3 linked regions of the Pelodiscus sinensis genome follow. The protein of the gene in region 3 interacts with the protein of the main gene of each other region in a pairwise test. Links are inferred from orthologs where the notes say so. Each region holds a gene or a part of one and is shown on either strand. Other genes may lie near its edges.

What was found. The genes of interacting proteins can lie anywhere in the genome.
Region 1: the proteins of ANXA11 (region 3) and PDCD6 interact in binary tests that used the Homo sapiens proteins (3 or more experiments, as listed by UniProt). The link is inferred for Pelodiscus sinensis from reciprocal best matches to the Homo sapiens genes ANXA11 and PDCD6.
Region 2: the proteins of ANXA11 (region 3) and phospholipid scramblase 2-like interact in a two-hybrid assay, tested with the Homo sapiens proteins (2 studies listed by BioGRID and IntAct). The two-hybrid records come from large-scale screens. The link is inferred for Pelodiscus sinensis from reciprocal best matches to the Homo sapiens genes ANXA11 and PLSCR1.

What each region holds. Positions count from the first base shown.
Region 1 is NC_134712.1:144,942,751-144,949,742, forward strand, and holds the start of PDCD6 (programmed cell death protein 6), read left to right. Parts: upstream 1-3,857; 5' UTR 3,858-3,968; coding exon 3,969-4,063; intron 4,064-6,992. Other genes in the region: EXOC3 (exocyst complex component 3), read left to right, coding at 670-797, 1,593-1,764. UniProt on the Homo sapiens protein: Calcium sensor that plays a key role in processes such as endoplasmic reticulum (ER)-Golgi vesicular transport, endosomal biogenesis or membrane repair.
Region 2 is NC_134720.1:23,898,486-23,905,942, forward strand, and holds the start of phospholipid scramblase 2-like, read right to left. Parts: upstream 3,136-7,457; 5' UTR 3,121-3,135; coding exon 3,084-3,120; intron 1-3,083. UniProt on the Homo sapiens protein: Catalyzes calcium-induced ATP-independent rapid bidirectional and non-specific movement of phospholipids (lipid scrambling or lipid flip-flop) between the inner and outer leaflet of the plasma membrane resulting in collapse of the phospholipid asymmetry which leads to phosphatidylserine externalization on the cell surface.
Region 3 is NC_134718.1:12,605,771-12,612,882, forward strand, and holds the start of ANXA11 (annexin A11), read left to right. Parts: upstream 1-4,031; 5' UTR 4,032-4,187; intron 4,188-7,112. UniProt on the Homo sapiens protein: Binds specifically to calcyclin in a calcium-dependent manner. Required for midbody formation and completion of the terminal phase of cytokinesis.

The sequences.
Region 1 (6,992 bases), on a different chromosome or scaffold from region 3:
AGAAAGACATCTTGGAGTCATTGGGGATAGTTCTCTGAAAACATCCAATCAATGTGCAGCAGTAGTCAAAAAAGTGAACAGAATTTTGGAAATCATTAAGAATGAGATTGATATTTTCTGACTTACTATCTTATTGGCTCTTGTAGGTTGGCAGAGTCATCCCTTTGCATTGGCATCTGAGGGGACCCATGCCTCCCTACAATTTGCATCTGCCAGAGCCTTCTTAGATCAGAAAAAGAGTAGGGGGAAGGGGGAATTAACAACACACAAGAGGGGCTCATCCCTCAAGGTGGGTGGTCTGTACATAATTTGGACTGTGGCTGGTGACCAGGACAAAGTGCAGCTATCTATTCACCTAGTCTTTAAGCAGGGTGGGTGGCCACCAGTTAAGGTTCAGGCCTGCAATCTGGCGAAGCTGCGGTAGGCTATGTCCCCAGCCTTTAAGCAGGGCAAGTCAATCAGCAGTTAGGGCTGTAGTCTTTAATCGGGAAGAGCTGCAATAGTATGTTTTCCCCAGCCTTTAAGCAGGGAGAGCAACCAGCAGCTAGTTTTCTGGTTCTTGGGACACCTGGCATGGCCACTATTAGATGATTCTGGGCTAGATGGACCTTTGGTCTGACTCAGTCTGGCTGTTTTTATGGACTATGTTTTTTGTTGTTCAATTTATAGGGATCAGGAGAGGACACCGAAGGACTTTGTGACATCATTGTAGCCATTGCAGAAGTTATCAAGCTGACTGATCCTTCATTGCTTTATCTGGAAGTCTCAACATTAGTTAGTAAATACCCAGACATCAGGTAATACCATTCATACTTCTTAGCTTTTGAGTTTTACCAGTATTGATTATTTTAAGATTAATCCTAGGTTACAGAGAGTAGTCTTGTGTGGGGTATATATATCCTTTATTGGTTTTTTTTCGATTGTATGGTTTAATCAACTTTTTTGTAAGATCATATAATAAAATGCTAATAATTTAACACCTGTGATAGTGGTGTGGATGGGTATGTACTTTGGCATATGAAAGGACATATTTTGGGAATATAGAACAAATGTATACAACTGAATCTCTTTAACCCAGCAACTCTGTGCAACAGGGTTTGTTGGATTAATGATTGTGACAGGCCAGGAAAGGAGCGGGATGAGGGCAGGACACTTACCAGGAACTCTGTGTCCCCCATCGCTATGGGAGCAGTGGGTAAAAACCTCCAGCAGAATATGTCGCTGGGCTGCTGCTCCCTCATCAGGGGGAGAGGAGAAGCAGCAGTATACAGAGCCACATCCACCTGAGCCTGCCAGGATCCTGAGTTAGACACACCCAGAATACAAAGGTTATAGTGTATTACACAACACCCATATCATAGTTTCGAAGTGAGAATTCTTCATGAAGAGACTGAAAAGTTAACCTGTGAGCACAATTTTTGAATGCCTGGAAGTCTGACTAAGTACCAAGGTATTCTGGCACTGAATGAAAAGATGTTGGCGGGGAGAGGGGACACTAGAAGATTTGTGATCTAACATATTTTGTCAAGGAAAATGTGACAAGTGCTTCATTACTTGTACTGACATTTCTGGTTTGTACTTTTGTTTGGCAGAGATGACCACATTGCGGCTTTGCTGACAGTAAGAGGAGATGCCAGCAGGGACATGAAACAGACCATCATTGAAACTCTGGACCAAGGTTCAAGCCAACCAAATCCTAACTATGTGCCAATTTTTAAAGAAATCACCGTTCCTACACTAAGTGTGCCAAAACTTCTTAAGTAACTGTGATAAGCTTGAGTTCATGTGTCAGTTTTGGTATGGGGTCAACATATTTGAATGTTATAAGGCAAATTTGGCAATGTCACTTTAAAGGACACCTAATACAATGTTACTTACTAGATATACGTTTTTTAAAATGTTTGGTGCTGACAGCTGTAATGAAGATCCTGGAAATAACCAGCTGTAGAAATCAATAGCATGGCTGCTTGAAGAATTAAATTTTCTGATGGCCAGAGTACTTTGTACTGACTATTGATGTGTTACAGCCATAGGCACCATCAACAAATATATTTTCTCACAATTACTTAACCTACTACTTTGTGTATTTACTTTGATGTAAAATTATTTCAGAAAATTTAATTATGAAATTCAAAAATGGCTTAATAAAATGACTGAACTAGCTAGTATATAATTTGGTTCTAGGGTGAATAAATGAAAGAATTTAATACCTAAGGTACAGTAATATTTTTTCATCCATTTGACTTCCACGGAGTGTATATTAAGCACTGCCAGATGCTAAATTAAATAAAATGTTATAGCTTAAACACTATGTTCTTTGAACCTATATAGATTCACTTCCTTTTAAGTCCTGTAACTATGAAGGTTTAAATGCCAAAAAAGGGATTAATAATTCAGTACTCCAGGTGAATTCTGTGCCAAAAAAGGAAGGAAAACAAAATATTGCCCTGTGGCAGGAACTGGCTGGCTCATCCTGCTTGACTGGTTTATGCTTCTGGCAGCTGGCAATAGCTCTATGGCTAGCTGAACAGACTGGCCTGTCACCTTTTGGTTTTGTAGTTGTCATCAACCTCTTCTCCCCCAAGTTGGTTTATTTTGTTTCTTGTGTTCCTATTCAATGGCTTCTGGATTCTTTATATTTATCCAATACTAAGTGGCATTGCCTGCCACCCTGAGAAGGTCCTGCCAGCCAGCCAGCAATTGCCACTAAAGGTGTGTCCCACCTCACACAAGCATGTGTCTAGATATGGCAGAGCAGATATAGGGGGATTCACAGGAATTTCTGAGGTTTTCTGGCCAGCATGGGGTGGCTGCTTTGCAGCCTAAAGCACCAAGCCCCCTACAGGAAGCAGCTTTTTGGGAGGAGCTGGTCTGCCCTTCTGCAACTAGCCCAGGCATCCGGAGGCCAAGAATGTGGCTGTGGAAGCCTGCCCAGGCCCACTCTGCAGAAATGAAACTCACTGTCTGCAGCACCCAGGGGGTCACTGATGCTGTGCTTGCCCAAGTAAGGATGTTAAGTATTGTGTAATTGACTAATTGAATAGTTGATGCATTTTTACATCAACTATTTGATTAGTTAATCGGGTGGTGCTGCCCCCTTTGAAATGCTGCTGAGGCATTTCAAAGGGGCAGTGCTGCATGGAACCCCCAGGCTCCAAGTGGTGCTGCTGCTTCCAAGTACCTCTCTCTTCCCCCCCCCCTCTGCTCTGTCTGGCAGAGGCAGCAAGGGGGGGGAGTGATGCTGATAAGCATTTGCTTACTGGATAGTCAACTAGCCCTTCACCTCCCTAGCCCAAAGGCTCAGAGGATATGCTGGAGGCAGGGGTGCTCGGTGTGTCGGGCGCACAGCAGGGGCCTTTGCATGTCCGTTCAGCCCCAGATGTCCAATTTTCAAACCCAGCCTGTCCTGCCTGGCCGCCCTCTCCTGAGAACGGAGCATTTGGTCTTGCTGACCGGGGACAAAGGCTCGCGCCTTCCCCGTAGGTAAAGAGCGAGCTGCGCGGCGCACGGGGGAGGGGTCCAGTGACCAGCAACAGCCCCACGCGGGGGCTGGGGGGCAGCGCGTGACTCCCTTTCCCTTCGGCAAACACGGGCACCCGTTCCCCATGCGGGCAAGCTCGGGCAGACGGGTCATCGGCCCCTCAGCGCGCGCGGACTGTCCCGGGGCTGTGGCAGCCGATGCCCAGGGCTGAGCGCGCGGACACGCACTGCAAACCCCCCTCCCCCCAGGTGGCAGTTGCGTCAGAGCCGTTGCGCCTCAAAGATTCGCCCGGGGGCGACGTTTCTCTTGGAATCCCCACGGGCAGGGGGGAGGGGACGTTGTGGAATCCCCGAGGGCGGAGCGGGGCTGCTCCCAATTCTAGTCAGTCAGGTGATCCCCTGCAGTCGAAGGGCCGGAAGCGGAAGTGAGGTAGCAGCTTGCGGACGCGTGACCGTTGGGGAGCTCAGTCGCTACTGCGAGCGGGGCGATGGCAGCGGGCTACCAGTATCGGCCGAGCGGCGGCGGCGGCGGCGGCCCCCCGGGCATGCAAGATCCCAACTTCCTGTGGGGCGTGTTCCAGAGGTGAGAGCCCCGCGCCTCGATCTCCCCTGCGGGGCGTTGCCCGGGTGCCCCCGCCCACGGCAAGCGCCCCGAGCCTCCCCCTTCCCCTCAGCCTGCCTCGCGCCCCGGCCCCGCGGGGCCTCTGCCGGGGCGGTGTAGGGATCCGCTCCCTGTAGCCGCCCTTGTGTCTCTGCGCCCCCCCCCCCCCCGCCCCAGTTGACTCTCGCCGCCCCTCCCTCCTCCTGGCCGGCCCCGCCCGGGGCAGCGCCACGGTCCCCAGGTCATTTTCTCCAGCCCAGCCCTGGGGCGGAGGCGGCTCCACCCGTGGCAGTGATAGAGACCAGTCCGGTGCCTGCCCGTGCGGGGCCGTTCCAGGCAAAGCCGCTCCCGCCTGGTTGAAGGGGGTGTGCAGCAGGGATGGTGAAGGTTAACCGGTTACCCAGTAAGCATTGTGTTTACCGGTTAGGTAACTCGTTAACCACCCAGGCTGCCCCGGGCAACCCTATGCCCTGCTAGAGCTCCCCTCCACTCCCCCAGTTTGCACCAATTTAATCGTTCAACCGATTAAATTTAACATTTAAGCGGTTCACTAATTAAGTAGGATTTTACATCCCTTGTCTGCAGTGGCTGTGTACAGACAGTGTCTGATGTTAGCAGCAAGGGAAGGAGGTGTGAGTAGCGTTACAAAGCCAGAGGGTTAGGTAGGCTTCTGAGCATGTAGGGCAATATGCAGCTCCTGGAGACACTGCAATATGCCTGGGGCTTAATCCTTATTTTGGGGATGAGGAGAGCAATCCTGAAAATAGCCTTAATTTATTTCCCCCACTGTATTTCATTCTTGCAGAGGTGCTAGAGGAGTATCTTCTAAGACTCCTGCCGTATAGGTGTTGTTAGATAATATGTCAAGCTTTTTATGCCAAAACTTCTGATTAGGGGATGATTACTTACTGATTATTTTTCCTCCAAAGGTCACTCTCAGTACTTGCAGTGCTCCATCTGCTTGTAATATGAGTTTTTCATCTGTTCCCTGGCTTTTCTTTTCCTCTGCTTCAGTGTTCATTACTCAGGTTTTTACATTCATTTTAAATATTGTATTGTTGAATTCATTCTCTTCTGTAACATATATCCAAACTATATTTGCTTTTTTCTGTCATTTACCAGTGCCTTTCCCTATTCATTTATAAGTGTGTGTGTGTGTGTGTGTGTGTGTGTGTGGAGTCCTCAGACTTATGATACAATGCAATTTTGAGGAAATAATTGTAAGCTGAAATGTTGTAAGATGAGACCACTTTTCCGTAGGAATTGGAAAAAAGAGGGAATTGGTTCCTGAACCATGGCTTGAAATACCATTTTCACAATAATAACCTAGATATTTGTATTAAATGAATTATAGCAGTGTTTCTGAAACTGCTCTGCAGAGCCCCAGGGCTCCGTGAGACATCTCCAGGGGCTCCGTGAGGTTGACAAACTGGAAAGCCTTCAAAAGCATAATTGAGAATCATCTCGAACGGATGCAATTAACACACACCGCTGGGGCTCCGTATAAATTTTTACGCATGTAAAGGGCTCCAGATCCCAAAAGTTTGAGAACTGCTGAATTATAGATTAGGGATGTAATAGCGTAGCTGATTAAATGATTAACCGAGTGTGTGTCTATTAATTCTATAAGCTACATGATTAAGAAAAGTATATGCATCTTAACCTCCCTATTATAGATTATTAATGTACCAAAACAGCATTCAGCTAAACTTAAATTCGGGGGTTTCTGTAAAGTCTTAAAATGTCCAAAGAAGTTTGGACAGATGTACTCTTCTCTTGTAAATATCTCTGTAGCAGCAGTACATATTGAATATGCCCCTATTCACAGGTGTACTGCGTTCAATAATGAGGTTATATTCCTCAAACAGGGACATGGCAGCTTTCAAATTTGAAGTGTTGGCTGAGGCAGGAGTTTCAGTAGTGAATGCATCTTCCTCTGCCACCTTCTGCTTTTCCTCCTCACTGACATCCTCATTAGTTAATTCTTCACAGTGTGATGCCAGCAACTCATATCTTCTGGTGAGTGCTTTGCCTGTCCGAACAACTCCTTGGGTCCTCTCTTCAGCAGTGTCTGTGAATCCTTGAAAATCACACACAGTTAGGATACAATTTTTGCCAAACGCCATTCAAAATTGGATTTTTTTTTCAACTCATTCCATGCCTCAGCATTGTTTAACTGCATGGTATATGTTGAAACCTTTCTGGGAGTATTTTTGAGGGTTAACAGTGCTAAAATTGTTTCTACAATAGCTGCTTGGCACAAAATTATGACTTAATCAATCCTCAAACGTTTTCGTTGACACATGCCTTAGGACTTAATTTTCATATCACTGGGAGAAATGCCTTGGAATATCCCTTAAAGCCCTGGGGTTTTCTGGCTGATAAATAAGCAAGAGTGTGAGTTTAAAGTCACCGTCAGCATTTGTATTGAGCAAAGAGTGAACCTATCTTTAGCAGCTTTGAACCCTGGTGTGCATTTCTCCTCTTCGGCTATGTAATTTGTGATGGAATTCTTTTCCAAAAGAGCCCAGTTTTGTCAACATTAAAAACTTGGCATGCATAACAGCTACCCTCCTCAGTGATTCTAGCCAATGTGTCAGGAGAAGCACTGAGGTACCTCCTTATCACCACTGGCAGCTTCATCTGATGTGCAAACTGACTTTGGCTGTAAAATGCATCAATTAGCCCCTGCTTGCATTCAGGGGCTCATGAGTAAAACCCTGTTTCTTTAGCTCTTCATAAAGATTCTTTGCCTTTCCTGAATTATGCCTAAGCTTGCAGGAGCTCAGTGTTAGTTTTGATTCTCCAGCCAAACAGTTTCTCAACTAGGAATGTAAATACTCATTTAAAAAAATAACCAGTTAAATGATATAATTTTTATTGTTTAACCCTGGAGGACTGTTGCTGAGGG
Region 2 (7,457 bases), on a different chromosome or scaffold from region 3:
CGCTCCATGGCTTTGGAGCCATTAAGTAAACAAACCAGAATGGCCCATTAGCAGCACTGATGTAGAGTAAAACCGCTGTCTAATTTCCATAACCACCTCTCCCTATTCACATAGTACTAGTACCATACAAAGATGGGAAATTCTAAGGGCAGAGAAAGACTAAAGAAAATATACTACCTGTTGTAACTTGGGAATTGAGGGAGCTAGAGAAAATGTAGCACTCTCTTCTGCCTCTGTAGCAGGGAAGATGTTCTATTTCAAAGTGCAGCAAAAAAAGTCCTCAAAGATACTGTAAAAATTATATATATTTTACTGTGTATACATCATTTCTTTCTGCCTCGTTAAGAGTGTTGATGCAAATAGCGGTTTTTCAAAAATATCTGCTGTGAATACAAATGGCTCAGTTAAAGAATAATATTTTAAAACTGATAGATTGGTGAATAGCATCTCACTTCTCAAATGCTTATTAATGTTTGTTTTTTCAGTATAAATTTTACCAATTCACTTTGACCATTTTACAGGGTTGAAATGAATTATATGCAGGGGTGGACTGGCAATCAAAATAGGCCCGGGAAATGAGTTGAGAACGGCCGACTTTTTCACGCACACTATCTTTGTTCGTTTACACCATACTCACACTGTTATTTATTGTCAGTTATGGAAAACCACACACCCACAATGACAGACGATAACAGAACGCATCCAACCGCTGCATACTCTTTGTTCACCGGTCAAGATTCAAGCTAATCCATCACCGATTCCACCATTGCACAAAGCAGGCCTACGCATTACTGTTATGCACCATCGAGCATTGAGCATTGCACGTCCATTTCGTTGATTTCAACCATAAAGTGATGTCATTCACTTTAGTGCCAAAGAAACTAAGGCCAAGCCGGTGCAGCGACCCACTCCTAACCACACACACATACACACATGGCCTCGGCCGCCTCACATTTATTCGGAAACATTTTGTATTTTGGTATTATAGATTTTTTTGGTATTAGAACAGTGGTCTCCAACCTTTTTACACCTAAGATCGTTTTTTAAATGTCAGAACAAGCCAAGATTTACCACTCCATCCTTCCCCCAAGACTCCACCTACCCTCTCTATTTTCCTCCTCTCCATCACTTGCTATCCCCAGCCCTTTTACACTCTACACTGCTGCTTTTTTTCCGATTCTTCTGTAGGAAGAGGTTTTTCCAACATTTGGCCTATCTGGACAGGACCAAATGTCAGAAAAAACCCTTCTTTCAGAAGTCCCCTTATTCCTTGTGGAACGAGGAATACAGGGCTTGCTGAAAGAGCATGTTTGCTCTTCCGCCAGAAAAAATGGAAGAACAAACGCATCCATGGACGTGGAAGAATTTTTCCGGGATATCTCTGGAATCCTGGAAAAACTCCTGCAGTCTAGCAATACTCTCACTGGCTTGAGACAGGATATGTATGCTCTGGGGTGAGAATGAGGGATTTGGGTGTGGAAAGGGGTGGGAGGGTCAAGCTCTGGGAGAAAATTTGGAGGAGGTGGAGAAAGGGATGCTGGCTCAGGGAGGGGACTCCTGGCTGGGGAGTGTTGAGGTCAGATGGAGGGTTGGGGTACTAAGCAAGCCACAGGCTTGTGGATGTGAAGGTGCAGGAATTTGGGTTGGAATATGTCAGGGGCTCAGGGCAGGGGGTTCCAGTGTATGATAGGCTCAGATCTAGAGTCTGGGACGGGGTGTAGCAGTGTTATGATGCTGAGGCTAGATGGGGACTTGGCCGCAATTGGGAGTTTGTTGGACAGGTTTCATTTTTAAATAAAATACTATGTCAAACACAAAAAGTTTCTGCATTGTCTTTATTTATTAGAAGGGCAGGGAACCTGTTTTGAATCAGGTGTCACTGACTCACAGAAAAGTCAGTTGGGGCAACACAAGTGAGATGCAAAAAAAAAACCTCCTCCAAAAAAACCCCAAACCTCACTACTGTGGCCCCTACTACGCTGGTGGAAGCAGGAGACATGGTAGTAGGGAAGGGTGCTAGTGGGTGCTGGGGCAGGGGATGGTGCCAATTGGGGCAGGGGACAGGGTGCCAGTGGGGGACAGGGTACCAGAGGAGAACGGAGGGGCAGGGGGCAGAGGGCAGGGTTCTGCAGCAGGGGACAGGGTGCCAGTTGGGGCAGGGAGTCTCCCGCACCTGCCTCCTCCCAGCACTCTTCTCCCCTCTCCCTTCCCCCCGCAGAGGAGGGAAACCCTGGCACGCACCTCCTCTGGGGACTCCCCCCGCCCCACCATGCCAATTCCCAGCACGCTACAGACCTGGGGGAGGGGAGCAGCCACTGCACTTCCGGAACCCCTGGAAGTGGCGCGCAGCTGCTGGACTTCTGTCCACCCTGCAGGAAGCCGCCACTACTTCTATTGTCACTGGAGGTAGGTAGTAGGACTTCTTGGGGGTGGGGGAAAATCACAGGGGTGGCCCCGAATGCCTCACGATCGACTGGTTGGTGACCACGGTATTAGAAGCTTTATGGTGGATATTACAGTCCATTCAGACGATGGCCCGCTGGGCCAGATACTGTCAGCAAAGCTTTTTTCAACAAAGAGTGTCTAGACTACATCCAGTTCTGTTGACAAAGCAAGCCGCTTTGTCGACATGTGAGTGTAGGTGCAAAGGACAGTGTAGATGCAATAACACCTTCTGTCGACAGAACTCTGTTGCCAAAAGGCGTTATTCCTCATAGAATGAGGTTTACTGCCGTTGGCAAAACTGCCGAGTTCTGTCAATGTTATGTCGACAGAACTTGGCAATAGTGTAGACAGAGGTATAGTTTTATCGACAAAAGGTCACTTTTGTTGACAAAACCCTGTAGTCTAGACCAGTGGTCGGCAAGCCGCGGCTCGCGAGCCACATGCGGCTCTTTACACGCTTTAATGCGGCTCTTCTGTGTGCCGGGCGCCCGCTCCCCTCCCTCCTCTCGGGCGGCCGCCCCAAAAGTCTAGTTACTAGACCAAACCGCAATTCAAACCGCATTTGGAGTGGGGCAGGGCCGCAGGGGGCGGGTGGGCGTGGGCCGGGATCCAATGGGGCTCCGGGGGCGGGGCCTCACCTGGGAAGGGGGCTGGGTGGTGTTTCTCGGAGCTCATTGGCACAGTTGGGAGCGCGGCGATGGCTGGTCTCGGCAAGTGGGGCCGGTGGCACCTCCTGCTGCTCAGCGCCGCTTCGTGTGAGTGCCGGGCCGGGGGGCAGTGAGACGGGGGGGCGGGAATAGGAGGGCATAGAGATAGTGGGGGGGGGGTAAAGGAAGGGGGCTAGAGGCAGGGACGGGGGGGGCGCCGCCCGGGCAGAGTGGCGGGTGGAGGAACCGTGGGACGGAGGGGAAGATGGGGCGTGGGGGAGAAGGAGGGAGCAGGGGCGGGGAAAGGAGGGCAGTGGGGCGGGGGGGGGAATGGAGGGGGCAGGGGCGGAGGGGGAGAAAGGAGGGGGCAGGGGCAGTGGGGCGGGTGGGGAATGGAGGGGGCAGGGGCGGAGGGGGAGAAAGGAGGGGGCAGGGGCAGTGGGGCGGGTGGGGAATGGAGGGGGCAGGGGCGGAGGGGGAGAATGGAGGGGGCAGGGGCAGTGGGGCGGGTGGGGAATGGAGGGGGCAGGGGCGGAGGGGGAGAATGGAGGGGGCAGGGGCAGTGGGACGGGTGGGGAGAAAGGAGGGGGCAAGGGCAGTGGGGGGGTGGCGCCCGGGGCAGCACGGCGCCCGGCCGGACACACAGCGGGGCGGGGGAGTGGACGAGACAGGGGCACTGGGAAGGGGTAGAGGACGGGGCGGGTCAGTGAGGCGGGCGGGGACGGAGAGGGCAGACGGGGAAGTGGCAGGAAGGGCGGGGTGCGGGAAAGGACAGTGCGGACGCGTGGAGGAGGGGCAGATCAGACACTTCTTTTCGTTGCGGGAAGTCGGGGTGTCTGAATTGTATGGTCGGGGGGTGGTGGCGTTGGGGTCTCTACACGGAGCTGCCTGTCTCTGGTGCTGGGACCCCAGTCTCTTGGGGCGGGCTGCCTTTGCTCGCGGGTCTCACTCCTTGCTTCACAGCTCGTTTGTTTTGTTGCGGAGCCTTTTCTCAGCTGAGACCCCCACCCTGGCTGGCCTGTGCTGCTGTTGCGCTTTGAACGTTATGCTAAGCATTTTGGAGCATTTAGTTTGAACCTGTGTAAAACACTCCTGGGCAGATAAACGGCCCGGGAGAGTAGAGGGGTGGATTTTAGCGATGCTTCATTCTGAATTTTTGCTTGGTCTGAAATGAGAGAAGAAGTTTCTTTCTGTGTGAATTAAACAGTCTGTAAAATACTAGTTCTTTCTTATCGTAATCACTCGGAGGGGCCTGTGCAAAGATACTCAGTGCAGAAGGTCCCTTATCATGATAGCCAGAGACCAGACAACACACAGATACCTCTAAGAAGTGTTAACAAGAACAGCCGGGATTCTGGAAACTGGAAGCTCTCTAAAAATCCAGTGCAGTCTTCACCCTTGAGGTTACTCACTTCTTGCAATTGAACAATGAAAATAGGGCGATTGGGTTGCAGGATTTGGTTTTTTTTATTGTAGCCTTTCTGTAATTGTTCCAGTGAGTTAATGCACTTCCTCATGTTTGGATTGCAGATACTGCTGGGGGAGCTTTGTTTATTTAAAACTGACTTGCTGGGAGGGGGTTGTTCCTTTTGTGCTGCTTTGTGATGTGTAACTGTAGCCTGAACATTTTAAGGTTTTATTTGCTTTCTGTGACCTTATAGTTAGGAATTTCAAGCTTGAGATGTGAATTTGGACAGAGGGAGACTGATCTGAAATACTGAGCTGGCAGCATAGAGATGCTAGTTGAACTTCTTTGCAATTTAGTTTACTTGGCTATAAGGTATAGATGAAGAGCCCTATACAACTTCCACAGAAAGATGGAGTGGGGATGAGGATTTTTAGAAAGACCTATTGATGGAGGATTAGAGATGTAGGGGAATCAGAAGAGAACAGTTCACTGCTGAGGAAAAGGGTTTTAACTCATGCTCACTAAGGCACAGCAATTTAGCTTTAAACTTGGGTTAGCAGTGCTAGCTCATCTGAGGCTGCCCTATAGACTTTAACAGTATACTAATAAGAGTTAAATGCTGTGTTGCTGTATCTTCACTGTTTTGTCCTAAATTAGCTACCCTTGAGTTAAGCATACTTTTTTTATGTAGACATACCCAAGAGTGGTGAAAAGGCATACTTGCATGCAGAATATTCTCAATAAAAACTTATTGAAACTAAAAACAGTGTACCATCCTATGTATTTTCGGGTTTAAAAATGTGGCTCTCAAAATAAATTTCAATCGTGGTTTTGGCGAGATTTGGCTCAGTTGAAAAAAAAGGTTGCCCACCACTGGTCTAGACTCACTCTTTATGTCCTAAATGTGAAATCTGCTTTAGATTTCTGTACCTTTTCCTTAGCTAGTTTTTTTTCTTGGACTGCACTCCATTGTGCATTATTATCCTATTTAATGGCTACATCTGTCATTTACATTTAGTTGTATTTTGCAAGGTGAAGAAGTTTGCTGTACAGTCCATATATCCCCAAGATCCAAAGCCTTGCTGTTCTTTAAGCATAGGTGGTACGTTGTAACAGTACAATATACCTCTGAAAAATTATTTATGTCTCTTTGTATTTGACTATATTTCTTGGCTCACATTCACCATCGTTTCTATCAAATATGAATCTGATTTCAGAAAACTTTTTATTTCTATTTTGATTGTGATTTCCATTCCCTTCCGCTATGTTTTTTTGCTTCATTGAATTGGTGTTTGTTGTACCTTCTAGAGCCTGTGGCTATATTTCACTGCCCCTGCCGATGTTTATGGGGCAGATTAAATTTAACTCATGCTCCCTGTAGCAGTTAGTGTCTCAATCTGTTTATTATATTATTCCATATGCTTTCTTGTCTGTTCATTAATGAGTCAAAGTGACCCAAATTCACATCTTTGAGCATTTCCAGTTACAGATTCATTGCAAATGACAAATATCTCTTGAACATAACATTTTGCTAGAGATACACTATATCTCTGTGTTTTCCATAGTCAAGGCAAAATCACCCTCCTGTGCTTGTACTAATAATAGGAGTGGCCCATCAAGAAAGTCACTGACAGTATTTTAGGTGTTTTCTCAGACCTTCTGGCAGTGAGAACAATTATCAACTTGCTTAAACTGATGGAACTTCTTACAACATTTCCTTTCAGTGTCATGGCAGTTGAGGAAATTATTGTTAAACATGTTTTTCCACTATAACTTCTGATATCATATAATATTTACTGAGTCAAATCAGCAACTGTGGGAGATGACTTGGTACTCTTATTAAATGAATGAGCTGCTGGCTCAGATTGAGATTGTTTAGGATTCTGGAAACATTTGATTCTCATTGGGCATATTTAAAAGTGTAACAGAGATGTCAGCACAGTTATTCTCATAGTAACATTGCACAATCATATTTGCAGAGTGACAGAGCAGGATACGATTTGTAAGAACAGTTCTTCCAATCTGTTGACATTCCTAAGTATTGCTTAACTTAGTAAATGCTAACATGACGATTTCACAGATGGCTTTTTTGATATGTGAAACATTGTTAATATTGATGGTCGAAACACTATAATTAAAGACGAAGAGGCCTTTCCTAGACCACTTTTGTGAATGACTTATCTAAAAAACAACTGCATATTATTCATGTATCTTCTTTTATACTTGAGTAATGTACAGTGGCAGCATATACATCAACAGTGGTATCTATAGCAATAAAAGCACGGGTCTTTCCTTGTAACAGGGCAGCTCTGTTGCAACCCACTGAACCATGCTATGTAGCCAGTTCATGTGGTTTCACAGTCACAAACACACACCAAGATGTGTACTGATTCTTCATTTATCCAATGCAGTCTTACAGCAAGGGTAGGCTTCCCCACAGCCTTTAGGCTTCTGCCTAGGTTCACCCTCTGAGCTGCTTTTGCTTCCTATTTCCACTCCTGATATTGTTACCTCATTAGCCTAGTGATTGCCATGCAGGTACTCACAAGCTCCCTGTACAATTGTCTTCAGCTGGGCCAAAAATTGTCTCCAAGTTAATAACAATGATCAGGATGCCATTGATAGTGCCCTGTCAGACTCTTGGTTGAACTAAATGAAGTAAAAATACATTGTGGGGGGAGACAAGGGAGAGACCCCCTTTCTCTCTGCACCCTGAGGTGCCTTCATTGTCCCTTCCTTTCTACTATAATCAAATTATCTAGATTTTAATAGATAATTTAAAAGATAATTTAATAATTAAACTTGGTAGAAAGCACAGTTATTCCCACATTAAAAACTTGTATAGCATGCTTTAGTTCCATCTTTCATTCCTTCCTTCCTCTGAGCCTACCATGCTGGCCAAACAGGAAATGAAATTCAAAATTTCCTGGGAGTTTTCCTGTGTACCTGAGAGAACA
Region 3 (7,112 bases):
TGTAAAAGGTCTTTGTAGCAGAATGCAGGTGGTTAAGTCATTGAGAGAGTGTCCTTTCTGGTTAAAATGGCAAGAAACTGGTTTTTCTTTGTGATCTTGTCTGATATCTGTTTTGTGGGCATTAATCCTTTGGCGAAGTGTCTGAGATGTTTGTCCAATGTACATAGCAGACGGACACTTTCGGCACATGATAGCATAAATTATATTTCTGGATGCGCAGGAATGTGTTCTTGATCTTGTAACTCACTTGGTTAGGTCCAATAATGGTATCAGCAGAATGAATATGTGGACAAAGCTGGCAACGGGGTTTGTTGCAAGGGAAGGTACCAGGGTTGGTATTAGTGGGGTATGTCCTGTGATTGTTGGTAAGAATCATCTGAGGTTAGGTGGTTGTCTATAGGAGACTATGGGTCTGTCTCCCAGAGCCTCTTGGAGTATGGTATCCTGTTCCAGTATAGGCTGTAGTTTATTGATAATGTATTGGACAGGTTTAAGTTGAGGGTTGTAGGTGATGACAAGTGGTATTCCATTGTTGGCTTCGTCAGGGGAGTCTCACTGCCTGACATTTGCAGAGCTGCTATGTGATCCTCCAGCACCACATTCATGAACCATTACGCTATAGTGCAGTGCTGGGCTGCGGACTCCAGCATGGCTTCAGCAGTACTTTCAGTCACTGAAAATCCCTAACGCTGGAGTGCATCCAGAGCACTGCTGTGTAGTCGCCTTCTGTGGAGCACACCATGGGGACCACTCGAAGTTACTCAGGTTGGTGCAGTAATGATGGCTCTCTGAGGTGTGTCCCCGTGGGTGCTCCACATCCCACCCTCCCCGTTCTAGGGCCTGCCTTTTTCGTTTCAGGTATCGGGACAGCGAGAGGAACGGGCGGGAACCGGGCCATGCGCAGTGGACCAAGTGCGTGAATGGTGCAAGACACTGTCTGCACATGCATGGCACAGCTGACAACGGCTCTTGAAAATCTGAGTTGCAGCGCCGGGATGAGCCTGACACCTTCCGTGGAGCACCCACAGGGACACACCTTGAACTGTTGTTACTCACCTTGGTGCAGTAACTTCTTCCTGGAGCTTGTGTGCCTGGCTCGCCCCTGCCCTCTGATGATGGGACACGCAGATGCGACCCGCCATCCCCCTGGAGAAGTGGGTTGCCATCGCTGTCTGCAAGCTCACGACCCCACAGTTACGGTGCATGGGCAACCAATTCACCATGGGAAAGTTCACTGTTTGGGGCCCTTCTCTTGGAGGTAAGGCATTCTCAGGCTGCAGTCCCTACGGGGGAGGGGGACCATAGGGAAACAAGGGGGCGAGGGTGGGGAAGAATTCCCATGCTCTGCGGGGTTGTGCCGTCCCACCCTCTCACAGCCCTGGGGTGGCTCCTGGGATGTTTGGGGAGGGGAAGGAGGGAGAAGTGGGAACCTCCCAAGGGTTCAGGCATGCCCTCCTTCTGTTTTGTGTGTTTTTCGGTCTCCTCCTGCAGGTGGTAAGGGCCATCAACTCTGTCCTGCTGCACAGGGTCATCTTCCTGAGAGACCTGGACCTGATCGTTGCCAGATTTGCTGCCCAGGGCTTCCCCAACTGTGGGGGAGCCATAGATGGAACCCACATCCCAGTCAACTCACCACATCATTGAGCTGCCAACACATCAACCGAAAGAGCTAATTCTCAATGGTGCTGCAGGCCCTGGTTGACTGCCGTGGATAGTTGTCATGATCATGAGAGATGGCTAGCAGCTTGGGGACTAAGGGTTTAACTACACCTAAGCATGGTGAAGTGGCCAATAGGCATGTAGAGAGGAAATTCAAACTGGGACAAAGGAATTTTGATTTTTTCCTTCCTTTGTCCTTAGCAATTCCCTCCAGCTACTGAAGGAGACAGACATGTGTCTGTCTCTCTCTAAAACAATTCTTCACTCTTCTGTAAGTAGGGTAAAGTTTAGATAAATCATTAGGTATTATGGTTTGGGAAATGGGATCTGATGTCTGTGCATTTAAAAATGCTTTTTGCTCTCTTTTGTAACTAAGCTTCTGGTCCATGGTGGGTTTCTCCTCCATGAGAAAATTACTTTGTTACTTTTCTGTCTAGTCATTATGCTTACAACAGGAATATTGTATTGATAATACAAGTTCTTTCTCTTGGTTTTTCTTAACCTAGCTGGGACGGAAGGGCCTTCAAGTTCCTGTGCACAGCTGCATTCTGCAAGGCCCATCAGGGGTGGGGGTGGGGAGGGAGTGCGCACGCATCTGGGAGCCCTGACTGGGAGTTTGTCAAGGACCCATACCTCTCTCCAGGGCCTCCCTGCAGGGGCCTGTACTCCTCCCCCCCCCGCCCCCCATGCCTTTCCTACCACAACCACTCCCTTCCCTGTACAGTCAATAAAGACACCAGTTTTGAGTTGAAAAACAAAACCTTTGTATTACTTTTATGAAAAAAAAAAAACTTGGGATGGTGGAGGGGGGCTCAGGGCTAGGAGTGGCGCACAGCAGGAAGTGCTGACTTGGTTCCGGGGAGAACAGGTGAGTAGGGCTGGAGCAGGATCAGATCTGGCTGGGGGAGGCAGGGGGCATAGGCATAGCATGAGGATCAGGAGCTGGGTGTGCCATGTAGCAGATGGTGGCACACGTTTTTGCCCTGCCACCCAAGCTGATCCCACATGTAGGTCTGACACTGGCCATCCTGGAAAAATGCTACAGTATAAATGTAGCCTACATCATGGTATTGAGAAACTGAATTAGGGTCTAGCCAGTGTTCCAACAACTGGGAGGGCATGGAGAGGGGCAGCTCCCTCAGGGCCCAGTGATTGGAAAGCACCCGCCCCCTGTAAATTACTGCTAGAACACTAGGGGGCATGGCAAGGGCAGTGCTGAAGCGCAGAGGATGTGAAAGTGGCAGGTGCACAGGCACCCAAATCGGACAGTGAACCCTTATCTACCATGATTAGCTTCCCCCAGACCAGGGCATGCAAAAGGCCCTGCTGGACCAGTGGAGGTGCACAGGCTGAAACGTGAGCCCCCATCTATTTACATTAGCGCCCTCTGGACCAGTGGCTGGCGCACTGGCAGCCAAATCTGACACCAGGAACCCCTGTCTATCAGGATTAGCTCCCTCGGCATCCATAAGCAGGGGTAGTAAAAACTGAGCGAAGCCCAACCTGAGGTGGTGATAGAAATGTAGCTGTTTGTCTGGTGTCGCTGAAACAAAAAACAGGACTGTGTAGCACTTTAAAGACTAACAAGATGGTTTACTAGATGATGAGCTTTCGTGGGCCAGACCCACTTCCTCAGATCAAATAGTGGAAGAAAATTGTCACAACCATATATACCAAAGGATACAATTAAAAAAATGAACACATATGAAAAGGACAAATCAAATTTCTTAACTCAAGTTATAAGATTAAGAACACATTCCTGCACATCCAGAAATATAATTTATGCTATCATGGGCCGACAGTGTCCATCTGCTATGTACATTGGACAAACATCTCAGACACTGCCAAAGGATCAATGCCCACAAAACATATTAGACAGGATCTCACAGAAAAAACAGTTTCTTGCCATTTCAACCAGAAAGGACATTGTCTCAACGACTTGATTACCTGCATCCTGTTTCAAAGGCCTTTTAGGATTGCACTTGAAAGAGAATCCTCTGAACTGTCATTCACTCTCAAATTCGACACTTTACACTTAAGTTTGAATAAAGATGCTAATTATCTTACCCATTACAAAGACAGCTCCCCCCATTATCACCTCTAATATTAGCTCACAGACATTTACCTCCCCCCCCCTTCTGTTCTGAAATGTGATTTGTCCTTTTCATGTGTGTTCATTTTTTTAATTGTATCCTTTGGTATATATGGTGGTGACGATTTTCTTCCGCTGTTTGACCTGAGGAAGTGGGTCTGGCCCACGAAAGCTCATCCCCTAATAACCTCAATTGCTGAAGTGCTGCGCCGCCCGAGCGCCGTGCGGCCCGCAGCCCGCTCGGAGCGCAGAGCGGTGACGCCACACCTGCCCGTTACGCGCCCCGCCTCCAGCGCGCTCAGGGGCGCCGCGGGCTGCTGGCTCCTCCCCGCCAGGGCGGCAGCGCGCTCGTCAGCCGCCCCGCCCCGCCCCGCCAGCGCCCAGGGCCCACCGGACGAGCCGCCGCCTCGCTTCGCCGAGAGCCCCGCGCCCGCAGGTAGGAGCGAGACCCCGCGGGCTGGGGCGGCCGTAGGCCCCGCCCCTGGCGCCCCCCTCAGGTGCCGGCAGCGGGGCGCCTCGGGAGCCAAGGAAACTCCCTCCCGGGGAGCCGCCGCGGGCAGCATCGGGGCCCTTGTGTGGAGCGCGCCGGGGCTGGGGGTCGCCTGGTGGGCGCGGCTGTGGGGCAGGCCGAGTTCTCTGTGTGCCTGGGGGCAGCCGCTTGGGGGGCGGCCAATGAGAACAACGTCTCTGGAGCTGCCTTGCGGCTTAGGTCCGGAGTGAGCCGTTCCTCGGCTGGAGCGTGCCCTCTGCCCCGGGTTCCGCCGCATCGCTCCCCCTCCTCGCTGGGTGCTGCCACAAACACCCCTCACCACAGGGACCGCTTTCTGCCGGCAGCCGCTTCCCTGGCGCCGCTCGCCAGTTTGCCGGATTGTTCATTGCGGGGAAATCCAGTTCCTAGTAAGCACTGGCTCCGAGAGCCGCCCTCTTCCTGGCGTTCCTGGACCTTTGGCTGGTTTTTTTGAGTGGCTGGACGTGCTTACTTTGCATGTAGGATACATCGTCTTAAGGGGAAACTGTTGAAGTTGACCGATTCATAATCCGATTTCCGTTGAAATAGAAACGCACAAAACCTGCTCTCTCAATCCTGGGAAGCCTGAGTTTCTACAAAGCTAGGCTTGCAACAGAGAGAAAAGTTTAAAATATCTGAGCAACCTGACTGTAATAAACCTGGTTTGTGTATGGGTACAACGCCTGCTTAAAAATAGAAGAACAGCCATACTGGGTCACTCTAAAGGCCCATCTAGCCCAGTATTCTGTCTTTTGACAGTGGGCAATACCAGATGCCCCTCAAGGAGAGAGCAAAACAGGGAATCATCAAATGATCCCTCTCCTGTCATCCATTTACAGGTTCTGATAGAGGCTAGGGACACCATTCCTACTTATCCTGGCTAGTAGCCATTGATGGACCTAACCTCCGTGAATTTATCTAGTTTTTTCCTGAACCCTGAAAGTCCTGGTCTTCACAACATCCTGTGGCAAGGAGTTCCACAGGTTGACTGTGCGCTGCATGAAGAAAAGCTTCTGTCTGTTTATTTTAAACCTGCTACTAATTTATTTGGTGATCCCTAGTTTTTAAATTATGGGAACACGTAAATAACTTTTCCTTATTCATTTTTTCCAGACCACTCGTGGTTTTATACACCTCTCTCATATCCCCCCCTTAGTCTCCTCTCTTCTAAGATGAAAAGTCAGTCTTTTTAATCTCTCTTCATATGGGACCTGTTCCAAGCCCCTAATAATTTTTGTCACCCTTTTCTGAACCTTTTCCAATGCTAATATATCTTCTTTGAGATGAGGTGACCACATTTGTATGCAGCATTCAAGATGTGGGCGTGCCATTATTGTATATAGAGGCAATAAAATATTCTCTGTAGTATTCTCTGTCCCTTTTTTAATGATTCCCAAAATTCGGGTTGCTTTTTTGACTGCTGCTGCACATGTTTTCTGGGAACTATCCACAATGACTCCAAGATCTCTCTCTTGAGTAGTTACAGCTAAATTAGTCCCCATCATATTGTATGGGTAGTTCTGGTTGTTTTTTTTTCAATGTGCATTACTTTACATTTACTAACATTAAGCTTCATTTGACATTTTGTTGCCTAATCACTTAGGCTATGGCTACACTGTAGCCTTTTTCCAGAAAAGCGTATGCAAATGAAGCATGATGTGGAATATCACCGTGCTTCATTTGCATAATTAATTAGCAGCCACCTTTGCTCAAGAGGCTTTTACACAAAAAGGAGCTATCTAGATGGTTCCTTTTTGCACACACACCCCCTCTTGTGCAAGAGCCATTCTTCCTGAAAAAATGAGGAAGAACGGCTCTTGCGCAAGAGGGGGGTTTTGCGCAAAAAAAGAGCTGTCTGCACAGCTCCTTTTTACACACAAGCCTCTTGCACAAAAGCAGCAGCTAATTAATTATGCAAATGAATCGTGGCGATATTCCACTCTGCGCTTCATTTGCATAAGCTTTTCCAGAAGAAGGCTACAGTGTAGCCATAGCCATAATGATGTCGGATCTTTTTGAAGGTTTTACTGCTTTGATATTCACTATCTTGAGCAGTTTAGTATCATCCTTGCTTACCCGGAATGTGATCATCCTGATGGCCTTCTGTATCTGTCCTTGTAAATGGGCACAGTATTGAAATCTAAATGAAATGCTCTATGGGCTTTGTTCTTGTATATTTTAATACCTGCCCACTTCTGCATATGGTAGGGTGAACCACGACACCACCTCTTATCCGCTCAACCAAAGATTAAAAATAGATGAACATATACATGTATATCTATGCTTTCAATATATGTTCCTAAGCCAAATGTAGTGAGCTGAATGAATTAGGCCCTGTTCTTGCTCTCACTTATGTGAGTGCTTTCCTTTCCGGCTATAAATAGTTCTGTTGACATCAGTTTTCTCAAGTTAAGATTCACTTGTGTTACTGCTTGCTTTTTTTTTTCTTTTTTTTTTCAGGATGTGTTTACATGACGAGACTTTACACAGGAAATTACTTTTCTCTCTTGCTGCTGTAGAGTTGTGACTCAACTGTATCCTCACTTTCTTTTGCTTATTTGGCTCTGCTGCATACAGTTTTATCAGGCTTATTTATTTACCTCTTTCCATTCAGTTTTCAAAATGGAGAGAGGTAAATAGGAGTGACTCTCAGATCTGTACTGGAACTGGTGCTGTTCAGTGTATTCATAAGTGACCTGGAAAGGGGGCTAAACGGGTGGCAAATTTTGAAGACAATATAAAATTACTTCAGATAGTGAAGTCCAATGCAGACTAGGGATGTAAAAACCTGTTTTATTGGCTAACTGATTAAACATACTATTTAACTGGTTAACCAATTAAAAGGGGGAAGAG